3 linked regions of the Coturnix japonica genome follow. The protein of the gene in region 2 purifies or fractionates together with the protein of the main gene of each other region. This does not show direct contact. Links are inferred from orthologs where the notes say so. Each region holds a gene or a part of one and is shown on either strand. Other genes may lie near its edges.

Region 1 (5,932 bases), on a different chromosome or scaffold from region 2:
CAGTAAGTGTAACTATGAAGTATACAAAAATCACTCATTACCTGTCACTTGACTCAGGGGTTCCATCACTGACAGCCCAGCTCTGTCCACAGCAATGACGTGGTTATCTTTCAGATACTGTTTCAGCGACGGATGGATGACTTTCTGGCACACTACAAGGCCAACTTCATCATTAACCAACTGCTTTCCTACATTAAGCAACTGCTCAAGCTCTGACATTTCTAAGGAAATTCTGTGGTGGACTGTTACTGTTCCTTCTTCTGGGTCAAAAAGGTCTCCTGACATGGACACACAGAAAACTGCTACCTTGACAGCGTCAGAAGAAGTTCTTTTGACAGAAAACGGTTTTGCAAATTGAATTTCTGGTGTTTCTATCAGCAGACCAGGAACAACTGTAGAATCCAGAACTCTTCTACCCTTCACAGACACTGTTACACATTTTCCTAAAATAGGCTTAGTTTCAGGATGGCATGGAACAGTAAACATAAAAGCCTTTACAATCAGTACAGTGAGATGATCAACCTCTGTTTTATTAAGCATGCAAGCAGGTTTGCTTGTTAATATGCTACGCACCAAGCAAAGAAGAGTCTCAAGATTACCAAAATCCACAGATACTCGGCAACCACAGGCCTCAGACTTGAGGTAGTCAGTACATAAACTCAAAAGATGTTTGCTTATTTTTATGACAGTGCAAGGTGCAATATTTAGGTTTCTAAAGTTTTCAATCAAGCTACAGCAAAGAATGGCAGTAAATAAGCCACAGTCACTGAAGCGGGACACATGGTTCTGGACAGAGGCTGTCAAAACCTTTAATACAGGGTGACTGACAGAAAGACGACCAAGTATGGCAGAAGATTGTGATGTTAGACAAACATAACCTCCCAGACCATTGTGGAGCTGTTTAAGTCTGCCAGCAGGCCCATAGCAAGATTTTAATATTGCAGTTAATAGAGACAGTGGCTGACTAACTGTAGTTAGAGGTTCACTAATAAATAATGATGGCTTTTTAGCTTCAAGGCGAGACATTTTCAAAATTAGATTTTAATTCTGATAAAGAGAGATTTCATTCTTACTTGGACCTAGAATTCACAGCACTTTAAAGTAGTACATTTTTATTCTTTTCTGACAAAGATTACTATTTTAAACGTAGCACAGTATGCTAAGCACATCTGATTCTGCACACAGACACCTAAAAATGAGGCTTAAATCCCACTGTGAAATTGATAATGACAGCTGTAAGCTCATTCATTCATGCTTTCATACTTTCATTATTTCTTAATTTCTGAGTGTGATCGAGCAGATTTTTTTGCAACAAAGTTCACAAGCATCGTTCCAAAATGGACACCTATCAGCGACAGTCCTGCCACAAGCAGAAAGTTCTTTTTACTCCAGCTAGGTTTCCTCATCTTCCCTTCTGGCAACACTCACAGGAGATGTTTCAGAGCTAATTACACCTACAATAAAAACCAGAAAGGTATTAGTATGATCTCTCACACCAGTATCACACAGCTTTAACTGCTTGGTTTTTTCCCCAGAAAAAACTAACTTAAGGACAAAAACTACAGTATGATATTTTAATTGAAAAAAAAACAAACAAAAAAACAACATGTTACATAGAGGTATGCAGTACATAAACTACACATTTGCATTACTACTTTTACTTCTGACCTCTAGGCTTTACACTACTTTACGAATAGGTCATGCATGGTACTACAAAACACACCAAATGGTATGAAAGCATCAGATTACAATGATGTTAAGCTGTTTTTAAACAAAGAACAAAAGAAGTGAGACACTTCAGAAACAACAATCTTAACACACTTAAACAACTTCTGATCTCTGCCTCAGAAAGAAGGACTTCTTACTTCAACTTACCCAGCATACACTTATTCTTAGCTCTTAAACATTTCAAAATGTAGATGCATTACTTACATCTATCTACATGTAATGTCTACAGTAGACTTCACTCATTAGAGACTGTTAGACTCGATCATTATTTTGTCCTCTAACCACTATTAGTGACACACAATGTGTTACACTATGTGAAGCCATAATTCTGACCAATTTTAAACCTAGAAAGGACATTATTACATACCAAATCAGACACAGGAGTTTGACTGTCGCCTTGAAAACTATTGGGGTTTGTTTCAGAGTAACTTTTAAAACCTGCAATGCACCACTTAATTAATCCTGCTAAAGAGCACTGATAAGCAGTTTGAGAATTGACATGCATCTAAAAAAAAGTTATGTAACTACCAGGTTAACTCACCCACAAATGAATTAAACTCAGTAAGACAAACAGCAAAACACCAATACTGCCTTTGCTAGAGAACTGATTTAATGACCCATCTCCTGCCTCAAAATATGCAGAGGCAACTGATTATGAATCTTACCTAAAACAAACAGCCCTGATGTTATTTTTCCTTATTTTTGCGATCCCTTTGCATTACGTATGTCACAATCCCAGGTTCTGGAACAACCTCCTCTGTCTTCACTTGGAAAAGAGGACTGGACTTGATGTGGAACCACGACCAGTGCACCAGGCCAAGGCTAATTCCCATCACAATCAGAACTTTGTAGTCCTTCCATAAGGTTTTGAGGCTCATCATAAACTGGCATTTATGTACCTAGAGAAAAATAATTTAAATATATTTCAGAAATAATTTCTCCTCTCTTATAACTCAACTCAGAACTCAAGCTTGAATGTAAATATCGTTAATTACAATGCAGCAAATCATTACAACCGCAAGACACAGGATAAGCCTTACTTCACAAACTCCAGGAATAGAAAGGTTTTAAAAGGAACCTCAATTCAGACATCTTGATATGTTAATCACTACGTTGCTTCAAGTTTTGGCACACTACACGTTAAAGCTTCGCGACGTTTCCCTAATTACACATTACCACCTCAGACAGCGCATAATTTAAAGCTAAATCAACAACATAAAGCAGCTTCAAATATAGTTTCTCTTGCACAGTTAACAAAAATAACTAGTGGGGCTCCTCAGAGCGCACCAGCTTTTAGCTCACGGGCTGAGCAAGCTGCATTCGGGCAGCAGAACACCTCAGGCTGCCTGCATTACCTCTGTGCCCTTCAACCTCAGAAACAAGGGTATGACGAAATAAACTCAGCCACTCTTATAGGGAACACGAAGAACTGCTCACACGTAGTTTCATGGAGCAGTACGTATCAATATGTGCATAGGAAGCGAAAATTACAAGCAGCTTGATTTTATATCAAGATATCTTCGCTTCCAGAGCTACAAAGGCGCAGCTCAGACAACAAGCGCCCCCGGCCGCTTCAGTTTCTCACTGCCGAGGAAAAACCCGGGGTTGTAGGCCGGCCCCATAACAGCAGACACTGAGGGAAGGCCCCCACCGTACCTCACGCGGTAACACGTCCCTCCTCGTAACCTCGAGACACAAATGGCCGACGGGACAACGGCCGACACTGAAGCGGATGGAACGAGCCGCAGAACCGTGTGCCCGCACCACGACACGAGCCGGGGGCGGTGTGAGGACACCGCACGTTCCAACCCCCCACAGCCGGAAGAGACACTGCGGGGACCGAATGTGCCCCTCCCATCCCGGCCATTTTAGTTTAGGGTAAAAAGCTGGGCGGGACGCGGCTACAAACGGCGGCCATTTTGGATAGGGGAGAGGAAGCTCTCGCTTGGCAGCCATGGGCTCCGCCCATTGGAGCTTCCCGGCAACTTTAAAACAGCCGCTTCGTCTTCTGTGCCTGCTGTGTGCGTTACTCCTGTGCTCCTCTGCCCAGCCTTCCTGCAGGTAGATGCTGTTAGCTGAACGAAACGAGCTCGAGACATTCTCAGTGCCTCAGCTCCCTATCAGCATTTCCTTCTGCTTATCTTACTCTGTACTTCTGTATTCACTCTTTCGATCGCCGTCGGTAACATTATCTGTCATATTTGCCCGTGGTTTCAAGTCAGTGGAGGATTGCAGAGTTGGTAACTGTAGCCAAAAGGCAGGTTTCTTAGAAGTTAACATAGGCTTTAGTGTCAGCTCTGAAAGGAGCACAGTAGTTCTGAAAGAAATGCATGGAACAGATGGGATTCACTCAGCAAGGCCAAAAGATCACAGCCAGCACATCTGACTGGGCACTCTGGTGTTCCTCTCATTTCTTTCAAATAGCAACAGAGAGGAAACATGCCGTTGTTGTGCTCTAAAGGTGAACTGGCACAGTGTTTGCAGTCCAACATCTAAGCTCTGGAGACTTCAGAAAAAAAGCCTTTTATGTTATTATAATTAATTGTGACTCTTTTATAAGCGAAACTAACAGTGGCATATCCTAGGAAGGTATCCAATTATTGTTTTGGTTTTGCCTTTTTCAGGTGCCCGCCTCTTCTCACACACGATAACAGCCCCCAAAGATAAGCAAAGCATGAACAACTTGTAGCGTTAGAAGTTGCTGTACATGGGCACGTGTGGCAGGAGTTCTCAGTTCCTTACCTCTACTGAATTCCAAATTTCAACAGTGCCAAAAGCCACTTCTTCACTAAGGTAAGATGCTGTAGATCATCTGACTGACTTGTATAATACTATCATAGGAATAGCAAGTACTTTAATAACAGCAGGGTAGCAAAGCCATCAGCTACAGGAAATGAGAACAAGCCCAAACGCAGTAGCAGTAAAAATAAAGAAAAAGAGCTGCTTACCTTTGGGAGGCCTCTGGTAGGGAGGGATCTCCAGCAAGAGATGCCTTTACCTCCATTGCCAGCCCTTAAATGAGGTCTGGGAAGGGGTGGATCCACCTGTTTCAGTCAGGAGCATGGCATACTTCTGAACTCGCCTGGGTTGGCCCTGCTGCCAGGTGCTCAATCACTGTTTCAGGTCATGGCCTAACATTTCTGCTAAAACTTGCTTTCCGGGAAGCCTCATTTCCTCAATTTACTGAGCATCTGCCATTTCAATTGACCATAAGTTTTAGAGAATAAACTATTCTATCATGTCATTTTTAGAACATACCTCTTGCTTCTTCCGAGGAGGTTGTGTTTAGTTCTTGGAGCTTGTTTTGATGTTTGTTCATTGTGTTGTGTTTTTTTTTTTGTTTGTTTTTTGTTGGTGTAGGATGTCCATCAACAATTTAGGTGTTTGAAATGCTACTGGCAACATATCAAGGCCTTCTTTGTTTTAGAGAGTAAAACTTCTAGCTAAGTTTTTCTATTTGGTGTAGTTGTCTTTGCATTTTCTTATGGGTGATTTTATTTAATGGCTTGTGTTATTCTGTGATGGATGCACTGTTCCATGAGTCAGATTTCATTACCAAACAGTGGCAATTGTAACAGATCTCCATACTTTGGTCACAAACACACTAAATATCAAAGTATTTTGGGGATGGCTGGTGTCTTTTATTGAAGCATTATTTTGGGGATTTTTTTGCCCTCATTTCTTGGTGTATCAGTATTACAGTGTTTCATTTTGTGATGATTATTTTTTTTTTAAATCATTTCTTTCTTTCTCTTGTTGTTGTGTAGATTAGATTTAGGGAAGAATTCTTGTTACTAAGGATTATAGTTACATTAGTAACAGAACAGCAGAACCTTACTATGTGGCTCAATTTGAATACTCTTTTACAAGCAGTCAAGAGCACTCTTCCCTACATTGTTTCTGAAACTATCAATAAAGTCAACACAATAAGTTAGTAAATATTCTAGGGTTATTTTATGCAAGAGACAATGATACTTTTGCAGTGCAATTCGTGTTATTCCAGTTCATGCATGTGTGGTTGTTACCTGAATAACTGACATTCTTTGTATTACTTTCTGCTTAGTGTAATTGTATAGCTGATGAGATGCAGTGTGTGCAATTCCTTTGATATATTTTTAGAATGTAACAAAACCCTATTTTTAGCTGTATTAAAGTTGATTTTCAGTAACTACTTACCTGTGTGCTGGTTCTCAGTTCAAATTGG
Region 2 (5,911 bases):
TAATAATCACTGTTAACAATTACTCTTAATAATTACTGTTAGCTTTCCATCGGGGGTCAAACCTATATCGATCTTAGAACCTTCTAAATACCTAAATTCTTTATCTCCTATACTTTTTGACAGAGGTACTCAGGACCCCCCCAGAGTCAGCCCGTAAAGCCCTGTGCTGTAAATGAACTGTTGTCTTCCTTCCTGAGGTGATGGTGTTTTTCAAGAGAAAAAAAAAAAAGCAACAACCTGATGAAGTGATTAGTCACTGGCTGTATTTGCTTGTTTCAGAGGTAGCAGTAAACTCTGCAGTAAAATGACGGCGAACCATCTGGCTCTTTTCAGTTTGACAGTACGAGTTAGAAAGAGTGCTAGTGAAAAAAACCCAACAGTTATATTGGTTGTATTGCTTTCTGCGCTGCAGTTGTTTCTAGCAATAAGACGGAATGGAACGTATCTGTTTTGGTCATGCTCCTCTATGTTTTTTGGCAAGTCAAAAATGCACCCAACTGTAAATCTTAGGAGGAAGCAAACAGCTTTGTGAAAAGAGGTGAGTTTTTTTCCTTTCTTCTTGCAGTTTGCAAAAAAAGTTTACAGTGCTGAGTGAAACACCTTTATACTCTGCAAGTGGGTTTGTTTTTGTATTAAATATGCACAATGATTGTTTTTGCACGTTGCTTAAAATTGCTTACATTCTAAAATAGGTGTCCATACCCACAAACAAACGCAATGGGTAAATTTAAGATAACTGATAACAAGGTCTTCATTGCGTGTTGGGGATTATCAAAAGAATGCAGAACACAACAAGTTTCTAAACTTGTAAGACGTGCTGTTGTTTGTAGCTTTTCATTGTGCTGTAAATCTCACATCCTGCCAGTGTGTAGATGTGCATGCGCTTTCTGTGACTGGCGTAACTTAATACATATGAGAAGTTCCTGACTTTGAGTAACACATAACATCATCATTTTTAAAATGCATAAATATTGGTATAAAAAGAGATTTGCAGGGACCTGCTGTGGTTATTCTAACAAGTCATAATGTAAAGATAATACTTGCATAATGCAGCTGTGTCTCCTCGTCTATGTGGTAACACAAGCTTTGCTCACAAGAAGTCTGACAGAAACCAGTGTGACTGCATGAAAGGAGGTGCTATGTAATATAATATTGACATTTATCTCCAGTGGGAGGGAAAGGGGATCCCTTCAGGGTCTGGTCAGCAGTGTTGCCAATGCACTTGGAGCTCACAGTACCTGCAGACACTTCCTCGCCCAAAAACTGCATCCTCAGGAGCATTGCTAGTCATGTAGATTTTGTACTCATGGCACTGAGTAAAGGGAATACTTAGAAATTTGAGTCTGTGGATGTGCTAGAATGCACAACTTAACCTATCACTAACCCAGTAACTAAGACTGTATCATATAAAGGCTTCTGGCATGAAAAATCCAGGAATAAGGAACTTTTATCAAAGCATTTTCAAACCACCTTGCACTAAGTGTTCTAGGACATAAATGTGAAAAGGAAGACATCTACCATTTGTCAGTGGAAACAGCCAATACAAAATACATTTGATATAGTTAGAAAGAAATGTTAAAGCAGTCTCACCACAGGGTTTTCTGGTGTATGCAGCAATTCAACATCCTACAATAAAACAAATCTAAATTAGAAAAGTTTAGCATTTGAGCAATGCCCTCCAAAGATACACTCAATACATCATACTTGAAAATAATTTCAGAATTAGGACAAATGCTTTGCTTACCTTATCTTTCACTACATCTTTTAGTTGGTCAATTGTCTTTGCAAGCTGTTTGTATTTTGTTGCTTTTGGTGGAGCTGCAGTCAGCACCATACTGGAACAGAAGAAGAGCATACAGAAAACAATCATCCTCTCCATACTGATGAGTTTTGTTGTGTCAGGAGCAAAGTTGTGCTATCCAAGATGAACACTTCAGTTTGAGCAGTGCTCAGGTATGCCACGCACCTACCTATATATTGGTCTTTGATGCATATGTAAAACCCACCCATTTCAGTTTGGAAAGCTTTGAAGAATGGATTAATGAGTAACCCTTTTTTCTTTTCCATTGGCAAGGTGAGTTTGTGCGTAGGGGGCAGGGATTGATGGAGTGAATTAAAATATGCCCCATCTGCACATTGGACAGGAAAAAAAGAGAGAAGGGTGAATTCCCATTTTCGCTTTGAGTCAAAAAATGAACGTAGTAAAAAGTAGATGCTTAGAAACCACAGGCCCAGGTAAACAAAGATTCTGCTTTTTTTTCTTTTTTTTTTTTTTTTTCCCTGCTTCTTGCAGCAACAAATCTCTTCAATCCAATTGTAATTCATTCATATCATGCTGATGAAATATGACAGGACTTCTTTTCAGAAAGCTAATTTATCCTACTTTTCTTTATAACTCCAGAGGATATGTAGCTTGTCCAAGCTGATGTCTTTGAACCTTTACACTCATGCATGATTTCTGCAACTGCTGTGAGTAGGTCATTTTCACATTTAAGCCAGCTGAGGTCCACTTTTTACTTCAAACTAATTTTACATTTTTTATCATTGTGCTAATGAGCATGTCCATTGGGGACTGAAAGTGCATTTGCAGGGGTCTGAGCTCATGGAGATGCATTGCTACAGGAGAAGTGGATTCCCATCCCATGCCCATTGCCCAGATGGGCACGATACTGGAGGGCCAGGGACTAAGTTGCTCTCAGTCCCTCAGAATGTTATCACATTGAGGCTGTGACTGAGTGGATATGGCAGCTAAACATGTTCAGTTATGTTTTATTGCAGTTAGGCTGGATGTTAGCTTCGCTTCTCTATGCAACTCCTTCAATGGAAGTTCTCTGAGACCAGAGAATTCTCTTGAGAACGAAGAAATATCTTTATGCGGTGTGAAATAGATTAAAAATGCACTTAACAAAATTTAAACAGAGAATAAAAACAGCAGAATGATCTGAATTAAGAAATAAGTCAAATTCCCATGATTTCCTTCAAAATTGTTGCTTACTGCAATGAAGTGTGTATGCTACTTTTGAGGAAGCAGATTTGAGATTGTTACTTGAAAGACACGTAAGGTAGGAGCTTTTCCAACAGATGTCAGTAAGGAATGTTCTCTTATGGGGGATACCTCAGTTGCCTTCTTGCTAAATGAGTGCTGTGGTATTTGTAGACATTCCCAAATGTACTCATTTTGTGTGTTTGTTTGTTTACTTGTTTATTTACTATCAGTTTCCTCCAGCCCAAGCCACGTTTTCATTGCTCTCACTCACTTGCGCTGAGCACACAGAACAGCCCTGTGTGAGCAAAGGGGACTTCCGAGCTGCCACCTCTAGGAATCTTTTCAATTCCACTGCTCCTAATACTTCATTGCAAGGAGGTAAAATGTCTTTAAATGACTGTTATGTGCTGTCAGTAATAAATGGTTATCAACACTGTTGTATGACCATTAAAAAGTTGCTGTGTAGAATTGGTAGAGAGCAAATAAAATTGCGCTCCTTCACTGTGATAAATGAAAAGGTACCTAAGTGTCTTAAATCTCGGCCTCTTGAAGTTTGAAGATTTTAGACAGCTTTGAGGATGCTCTGCAAAGTAGGAGTTTGGACTTCAGTTTGATGTTGTCTTTGCTTGGAAGGCTAGTCTGTGTAATATGAGAATGCTTGTGTTTATCTGTCTGGTGTGTCAATCAGACAGTCAGATGGGATGATGGATTTCTGTCCATTTCAAAATCTCTCAGCATTTAAGCTGATGTGTTTGTTTTCTGTATACAAATTCCTTATCATTCAAGCTGATTCTTAAAGTCTGCTCCTCTTTAACCTGAATCTTCATCTTCTCTCCAGGCTATTGACTAGTAATTTAGACAAACATACGTTGTGTTCTCAATCCAGTTTTTGATAATACCGTTGGAAATGTTCATAGTTAAGGAGCAGACCGGTGATGTGTTTCTGCCTTTTTTGTTAGCATTTCAAAATTGAATTTTTTTTGAGAAGTTTCTTTGATCTCAGCTTCTATGGGTGAACATGGTAGCTCTGCTGGCTTTTATTTTAGGCAGCTTTATTTGGTTGATAGGTTAGAAGGTTTCCATTTGGATGTGAGGATGACTCTGTTAGCTTATTAGATGGCTGGCAGTTACTAATGCAAAAATGCCACTGCATTGACCAGACAACTTCAGGACCACTCAAGAACTTCAGTTAGTGCTGCCGGTGTATTTTCAGGAACTCGGGGCTTGAACGGGCAACACAGAGGCATCAGCTCCTACCCCCTGCCATGACAATATGTCACAATTACTTAACAGTTGTGTTTACCTCCATAGTTGGTTCTTAAAGTCTCTGTGCTTAGCAATCAGAGACATTCTTACTTCCAGCCTGGATGCATTGATTGTTAGCTTAGTCTCTTCTGTTCTTACACTGATGCTGTCATTCACCTTAGATCGTTTTCTCCTCTGACCGATGTTTCCTCATTTGCTCTGCATAGAGAGAGCAGTCCAACCCCCTCTGACGCCAGACTAAGCAAACTGATGCCTTGAAGTGTACCTGTCCTCTAATCGTCCCACCCATTCTGCTCTGCACACCTCCATTTGATTGGCAGGCATCTCTATTGGAATGGTAGATAATATTCTGGATGAGGACCCAACATCTCATTGTACAGTATCTATAATTTTTTATTGAACCATCTGGAAGTGCTTGACATATTACTGACTGAAATTGCGTTTTTGTTGGTCCTTGATAATTTGTTGGACAGGAGTAATGCACGGCTGCATTCTGGATATTACTGTGTCTCTGGGAGTCATTTCCAGATTCCTGGGATTGTATTCTCGCACTTGACCACGTCCCACAGCTGTATAGAAGAACCATACCTGTGTAGCTAACAACCATTTCAATTGTCATCTTTTGTTGTTTTTTCTTTTCCTAAAGTTGTGATAATTAAGGCTCTAATGCAGTGATCAGAGGTTAAATTACTGCCGTTTCTAGAGATAGTCTGAAAAACAGTGAGATAATTGTGCATGGATGGTCCTGAGATAAGTCACTTTAGGAAAGGAAATAATTACAATGGCAGACAAAGGCAGCTTTAAATTCCCTGAACCAAGCTTAAGCATGGTGAGAACTGTTCTAAAATTCTCTCCTTGTTCAAAGGAGGTTGTGTCAATGCAAGCTTCATATTTTAAACAAAGAAGCTGTTTTGTTAGACTCTGATTCTCCCTTCACTTTTAGGAATATTTAATGACATTGCAAAGTAAGGGAGAACCCTGCTCATAGCTGGCAGGCTGTGCATGCTGCATGTAGTCCAAAAAACCCTTTTTATATGAATGCACTGTGAAAGGCAGTTTATAGTATCAGAGGAGACATTAATGGGAATGGTAGGAAGTGCTTAAAATCCCTGTGTGTTTTACAGTGAAACTTTCTGTGTGAAAGAATGCCTGTACAACAGCACAGGAGAGCACTCGGGCAGCAGGCATTTAATGAAGCACTGTCACTTAATACACAGAAGCATCACAGAAATATGGCAGACCTCATCTCTTTACCTGTCCAGCAGGATAATTCGTGGGTTTATTGAGGTATACTAATGAGACAGCTCTATCCAAAATATTCTTAAGTTATATCTATTATATCATAAATCAGTTATGAAGTTGATGGAGCATTTAGAATGGGAAACTAAACAGTTATTTGGTAATGTGATAACAAGTGATTGCATATCATTTATCTAAAGCTGTACACTCTTCTATTTTGTGTTAGAGATTCTAAGAGCATAAAAATTGAAGAAAGGCACACTGACAGAGAAAGTGAAATATAAGGACAAAGAACTTCCTTTGTGTCTCGGCAGTGGAGAAAACTCCTTGATATCCCTCTCATCAGATAAGAGTGAGCAACATGGTTTTTATATACGTCACTTCTCTTTTGTGGCTTAGGAACATGCTGAGTCAAATAAT
Region 3 (5,976 bases), about 210 kb from region 2:
GGAAGGAAGCAGTGATTCTACTTACAGAAATCCAGATGTAAGAGAAACCCAACCCAGTGCCTGAACGAGACACCCCCAACAGTCCAGCTCCCATTTACACAACAAGATCACCTTACAACTCACCACCACTGTAAGAGGCTTTCATGCAACGTAAATATTGTTTAGAACTAAAACAGTCAAGCACATATGTGTGCCCTGGTGGCGCAGTGGTAGAAGTGCCACGTTGCAACACCGGGGCCCGGGTTCGAATCCCCCCTGTGGCACAAGTGGTAGAAGTGCTGCTCTGCTACACAGAGGCTCAAATCCCAGGTGTTAGACTCAATGATCTCTAAGGTCCCTTTCAACCCGCACGAGACTATTATCTATTATACGTGTATGTATTGTATGTTTACAAATAACACCTCAATATGCAGACAAACAAAAATCCAAAGGAGTTTAAAAACGAAGCTAATAATCCCTACTCTGAAATCTCCACAGCAATCTTACCAGCATCCCAACCTAAACTCCCATGGTTCCTTCTCCCCAGCTTTCACCTGAAATCCTACCAGCCTTTCACTCTTACTTCATGCTGCAACTATGTCTCAGTAACAGATTTTCTGCATGAAAACAGAAATTTCATATTTGTGATTTCTGTTACTACCAACAGGCTTTTGATCTCCAGTTTTCCCACCTATAAACCTTTTCTATCAGAAAACCAGCAGCAAAAGCCCTTAATACTGCTAAAAGTATGTTTTTCCTCCAGTGTTCCAGATAGGAATAATTTAAGCAAGTATCTTCAAGTACTCCCCCTTCTCACCAAAGAGTTGTTCATCAGTTCAGTATATGGGACAACTAAATTCCATTCTCACCATAACACATACAGATGCTCTACAACTACATTCTATAAACAGAATGGGCAGTAAGATATGGTTTCACATAGTTTTTGACTACCTTTTCAAATCAGCTTCAAATCAAGAAGAAATGTAATTAACAAATATAAACGTTACAATCTCAAAAACAGCAGAAGTCCATTATTTGTTACCTCCATCTCCATTGTGTAGAGCAAGAACAGTAGGTGGTCCAGGAACCTCTACTTCATACAGTAGATCAGATCCCTGGGGACAAAGAGAACTACCTTGAATGAGTTCTTATTCAAAAGGAGAAATCAAGAATAAAGACAAAATTGTTTTTTTAATATGGACATGTTTCATTTACACAGATTTTCTTGCATAAAATCACCTTTAAGCCAAAACAGAGAAAACTTCATATAACTAAAACATGGCTATAAGAAAAGCACATCTTGAAATGTGTTACCACTTAAAATAACTATGACATAATAATCCGAGGACATGTGGCATTAAGAAACAATTCTGCTAAACCATTTGATATCACTCAGACTTGCTACAGCAATAATTTGTGAGTTTTCAAACTTACAACAACTCACGCATTTAATTCCTTTGTGTAAACACTTATAACAATTTCTTTACTTCTTCTATCCATGAATTCCAGAGACTATTTGTAGTATCAATCAATCAATCCTAATTTTACAAGTACCAGCACTGTAGACAGCAACACTTACAAATAAGGTTATGCTTATGCTTATTCGATAAGAATCAATCCAATGCTATGGCGTCAACACATAAAACAAGCAAATATTTTAACCTGTAAAACTCTGAGGACTCTATCCTGACACGCAAGTACTGGGGTAATGCAATTCACTTTATCTACAGGAAGGCAGAGAACGTCGTTGATTTTATCTCTTGACAGGTAGTAGTGCTTGTCTTTGCAGTCGCAGTAGTGGTTATAGATATAGCTTGCGCAAAGAAACAGATCTGCTCCTGAAATGTGCCTGAGAAAAAGAAAACACTGTAGCATGTTGCCAGAATATTTGCAGTCATGTCTTTGTTAGGTTAGTATATGAATGTGTTATTGCTTGCAGGTTCCACACATCACCTTTTACAAGACAAGCACCTTAAACCAAGAACATACAAAAAAACAAGAGAAGAATCTTATTCCTGACCTCCTACATGCAGGGCAGATGGAAAGAATATGCTGCTAAAAAGCCAATAACCCCAGCTACACTCACCTGCACACACACACACTGCTGGAAAGGCCCCCAAGCCCCTTCCAAGCCCCCCCACACTCTTCCAATTGCACCGTCACTTTCCAGATTCCTTCCTACATGCCAAGGCACAAGCTAAAGCCAGAGCAGCACCGAGTGCTGCCTACATGCACACAATAAGGTTAAAAAAACCCCATACAAGTATAGATTGAGAATAACTTCATGGAGACAAGAAGCGGCAGGCACTGTACACACATAGCTTTGATGTCCTCGGTGAGGTTAGTTTCAAAGGAGAGGAACTGCTTCCCTCTTTTGGTGAAACCTCGGACATCTGATCCTGTTGCCACAAAAACTTTCTCTTGAGGTGTATTAAGAGCTCCCCCCAGCTCCAGGCGGGCAATTTTGGGGCCGGGCAGCGTTTTGAACACTGTCTGTAAAGAAGAAACGCAATCGCAATCATATTCTGTGATTACAGTCAACTTTTCACGCAAAGGATGCTAAACTTGCTTTACAGCCACTGGCAAAACTAAGGATACTACCAAGTACGTGGGGACAAAAAGCAACGCTAACCGCATGCCTTCTGGATTTGTTAGGGAGAAAGCTTTACAAAGCCCGTTTTTACAGAATCACAGAATTATCAAGGTTGGAAAAGACCTAGATCATCTAGTCCAACCATTACCAATACTTCCCAGCTAAATCATATTCATCAGCACCACATCCAAACGTTTCTTGAACACTCCCATGGTCGGTGACTCCACCACCTCCCTGGGCAGTGCATTCCAATGCCTGACTACCCTTTCCGAGAAGTAATACTTCCTAATGTCCAGCCTGAATCTCCCCTGGCGCAGCTTAAAACCATTCCCTCTAGTTCTATCACTGATTACACGAGAGAAGAGGCCAACCCCCAGCTCACTACAACCTCCCCTCAGGAAGTTATAGAGCAATAAGGTCTCCCCTGAGCCTCCTCTTCTCCAGGCTGAACAATCCCAGCCCCCTCAGCCTCTCCTCATAAGGCCTGTGCTCCAGACCCCCTTTAAACAGCACGTTGACACTTACCACAGGTTCCCCCTTTTTTATGCCGAAACAGGTAATCACTCCGTCCTGATCACCCACCACCACCTTCAAAAGCAGAGCACAGCGTTACGTCAGCGCACACGAAGGGTTTTTACACACCCCTTCGCTCCGCTAACCGCAGTTCCGTACTTCGGTACGTCACGTTCCGCCAGAGGAGCCGGGCCGGCCCGTACCTTCTGTGTGGCCCTACGACCCGACGCGGGGAGCAGCCTCATGGTCTTCTGCGCCGTGACGCCCACCTGCAGAAGGAAGCGCGGCCCTCACTCACCTCGCCCGGCCCTTCGGCCCCGGGAGCGGCGCTGCCGGTTACCTGCATGTAGTCCACGCGGCTCAGGCTCAGCTCCATGGCTCCGCCGGGCCCGGCCCCGAGCTGCCGTTACCCGTCACCGCGGCAACCGTCGCCCGCGTACGGCAGCGCTCCCAGCCGCACAATCGTGGCCGGCGACTGGGCGGCGCTGCGCTTAGTGCCGTGAGCAACGGCCGCGGGACCGCCCCCACACGGGCCGAGCAGGAGCAGGCCGAGTATCAGTAAAGTATCGCAATATTTTATTTAACAATGAAGCATCCGAGGCATCGGGTCACAAAATACCGGCCCTGCGCAGAGTCTGAATTAAAAAAAAATCATTTCTACCGCATGAAGAGGAGCTTTGGACTGAGATCACGGTCCCTTCAAATGTCGTTACAAAAAATAACAGCCAACCTCCACCACACCTCACCAGTGGAAATAACACACTGCATTATGGCACAGCAGCTGTGTGCTCACCCTCACCTGCTCCTCAGCTCATACTGCCATCAGCAGCGCAACCCTACCCCACTCTACCTGATCCACCACACGCTCAAACACCCTGTTCCCACCTCGCTGCTGCCAGGAGCACGACACTACCTTACATCTATTCATTTGTTTTTCTTGCAAATTCAGTGCAAAGGATTCTCAGCATGTATCCATAAACCTGCTAAAATATCAGTAATTCTCATCTCTATACCTTCTTAATGCATCAATGCAAAAAAAAAAAAACCACAACAGTTTGATAGTTGTTAACTTTCAGATGATTAAGATGAAGACAACAACGTTTTGGTGACGAGTTAATAAAATTTCCTATGACTAAATTCCAGAGCAGCTGTACATAAAGTTATTTAGTGCTAAAAATCTACAATACTTTTTTTTTTTTGTTTTCAAGTATGAGATACTGAAATATTATTGCCAATAAATAGTTGTGCTGTAGTCGAAGCCACGGTTCCTTTGTCGCATCATTCACATCTCAACATATTGGGATTGAGTTTCTCGCTGAGTTTATGTATTAAAATCGCTAACTCTTCTGTCGCTTGGGACTTGTCCTCCAAAAGTTCATAGCGAAGACTGGAGATATCTTGTTTGATTTCCTTTAATTCACCTGTATTAACCATGGAAAGAAATACTTATTAGCAAAGTCTGCTAAACGTTCATTAAATGATAAGTCGCATTAGTGCCTATTTCAGATGATCCCCTGCTCATCCAGAACATCCATGAGAGCTAAGTAAGGGGGGCAGAAGGCTTTCCCTCTTCCTCATCCTCTCTGAGATCCAACCAACTCCAGTGTTGTGCTTCACACATACACAGAACATCAAAGCCCTCCACATAGGTTAATGAATTAATCACGGCAACACTGCTAAACAGCTGGTAAATGTTAGTACCCCCTTGGAGAGAGAAAAGGCAAAAGAGATTTGTTTCTGAAGTGATATGCCGAGATCACACAGGGAAAGTGTGGCAGAGCTGGCAACAAAACTCACAGCTTCTGAGTCTCTCTCCTCTTCCTTACCAACATCCTTTGAATCAGAAAAAGTCAGCCAATTTAAAACTGTTACAACTTGACACAAGGACAACAACAAATGGAAACAATAGTCAAGGTTGGGCTTGTAACAAGATATGTCAGGGTTTCCAGTATAAGATATCTGGCCAAGAGATACTCAAATTCGGCTGACTGGGACGCTGGAAGCATCAATAGTGGTTTCCTCACAGACTTCCTCTGTGACTGTGTGTGCACCATGTCTGCACCCCAACTTTACATCTGTAAATGGGGCCCATAAACTTTCTCAGTTCCACGTTATCGGTCCTACTTGTCCATTTTTGTTGCACGTACTTCCATTGCTATATGACTTCAGTGCACATGAAGTAGAAATAAACTCATTTTAACTGGAGGCTCCATGCACCACTGTAATGCCAGACTCTAATAAATGTGACAAACATTCCCTCTGAAATGTGAAGAAGCCTCTTACCTTCATTTACTTCATCATTTTCTTTGTCCACTTGTGCTTTCAGAACGTACCGTTTTATCAGTCTTTTCATTATTTGCTGTCAGATTAAAACAGAGACACGGTTAGCACGTGTAGTAGAACTTTATTCACTTTTTCTTACAAGAATGGAAAAGATATAAGCAAGTGAAAAAGCAGCCCCAGATCAAGCAGTTGTCTCATATGGGCTTTTTTGGTGGCACACAGGGATTCATCACTACAACAAAGCATCTTTCTCTCAACCAACTACCTCTTAATTTACAGAAGGACGCAGCTGGTTGGAAGGAATAGCACAACAGGGAAATAAAGAATGATATTTTGTTTCTTTTTATACAGCAAGCAGGTGGAGACAAGAAAGGTTGGCTTCCTGTCACCAATTAGCTTTGTGAGAAGTCATCAGATGCACCATCAGGATTTAGAGGCATACACACACCCAGTCTCAAGATTTATTACCCTCATCATAACTGAGACTAAATTGTATTAGTTAAGGACACTGTGTTTTCTCTCCAATGCTTTGATGCCATGACTTCAAAATGCCTTTGGCGCTTACATAGCCACCTGTATAATGACAGTTATTAACGCAACACAGAACT

What was found.
Region 1: the proteins of BBS12 (region 2) and MKKS purify together in Homo sapiens (co-immunoprecipitation; 4 studies listed by BioGRID and IntAct, counting the BioPlex papers as one, with this or other methods). This does not show direct contact. The link is inferred for Coturnix japonica from reciprocal best matches to the Homo sapiens genes BBS12 and MKKS.
Region 3: the proteins of BBS12 (region 2) and BBS7 purify together in Homo sapiens (co-immunoprecipitation; 3 studies listed by BioGRID and IntAct, counting the BioPlex papers as one, with this or other methods). This does not show direct contact. The link is inferred for Coturnix japonica from reciprocal best matches to the Homo sapiens genes BBS12 and BBS7.

What each region holds. Positions count from the first base shown.
Region 1 is NC_029518.1:11,793,851-11,799,782, reverse strand, and holds the start of MKKS (McKusick-Kaufman/Bardet-Biedl syndromes putative chaperonin), read right to left. Parts: upstream 3,566-5,932; 5' UTR 3,385-3,565; intron 2,628-3,384; 5' UTR 2,394-2,627; intron 2,167-2,393; 5' UTR 2,096-2,166; intron 1,455-2,095; 5' UTR 1,027-1,454; coding exon 42-1,026; intron 1-41. UniProt on the Homo sapiens protein: Probable molecular chaperone that assists the folding of proteins upon ATP hydrolysis. Plays a role in the assembly of BBSome, a complex involved in ciliogenesis regulating transports vesicles to the cilia.
Region 2 is NC_029519.1:48,044,626-48,050,536, reverse strand, and holds the start of BBS12 (Bardet-Biedl syndrome 12 protein), read left to right. Parts: upstream 1-1,879; 5' UTR 1,880-1,953; intron 1,954-3,216; 5' UTR 3,217-3,364; intron 3,365-4,458; 5' UTR 4,459-4,626; intron 4,627-5,717; 5' UTR 5,718-5,843; intron 5,844-5,911. Other genes in the region: IL21 (interleukin-21), read right to left, coding at 1,591-1,626, 1,745-1,879. UniProt on the Homo sapiens protein: Component of the chaperonin-containing T-complex (TRiC), a molecular chaperone complex that assists the folding of proteins upon ATP hydrolysis.
Region 3 is NC_029519.1:48,255,556-48,261,531, reverse strand, and holds the start of BBS7 (Bardet-Biedl syndrome 7 protein), read right to left. Parts: upstream 3,566-5,976; 5' UTR 3,462-3,565; coding exon 3,426-3,461; intron 3,355-3,425; coding exon 3,289-3,354; intron 3,161-3,288; coding exon 3,098-3,160; intron 2,473-3,097; coding exon 2,297-2,472; intron 1,829-2,296; coding exon 1,642-1,828; intron 1,095-1,641; coding exon 1,022-1,094; intron 1-1,021. Other genes in the region: TRPC3 (short transient receptor potential channel 3), read right to left, coding at 4,364-4,506, 5,369-5,444.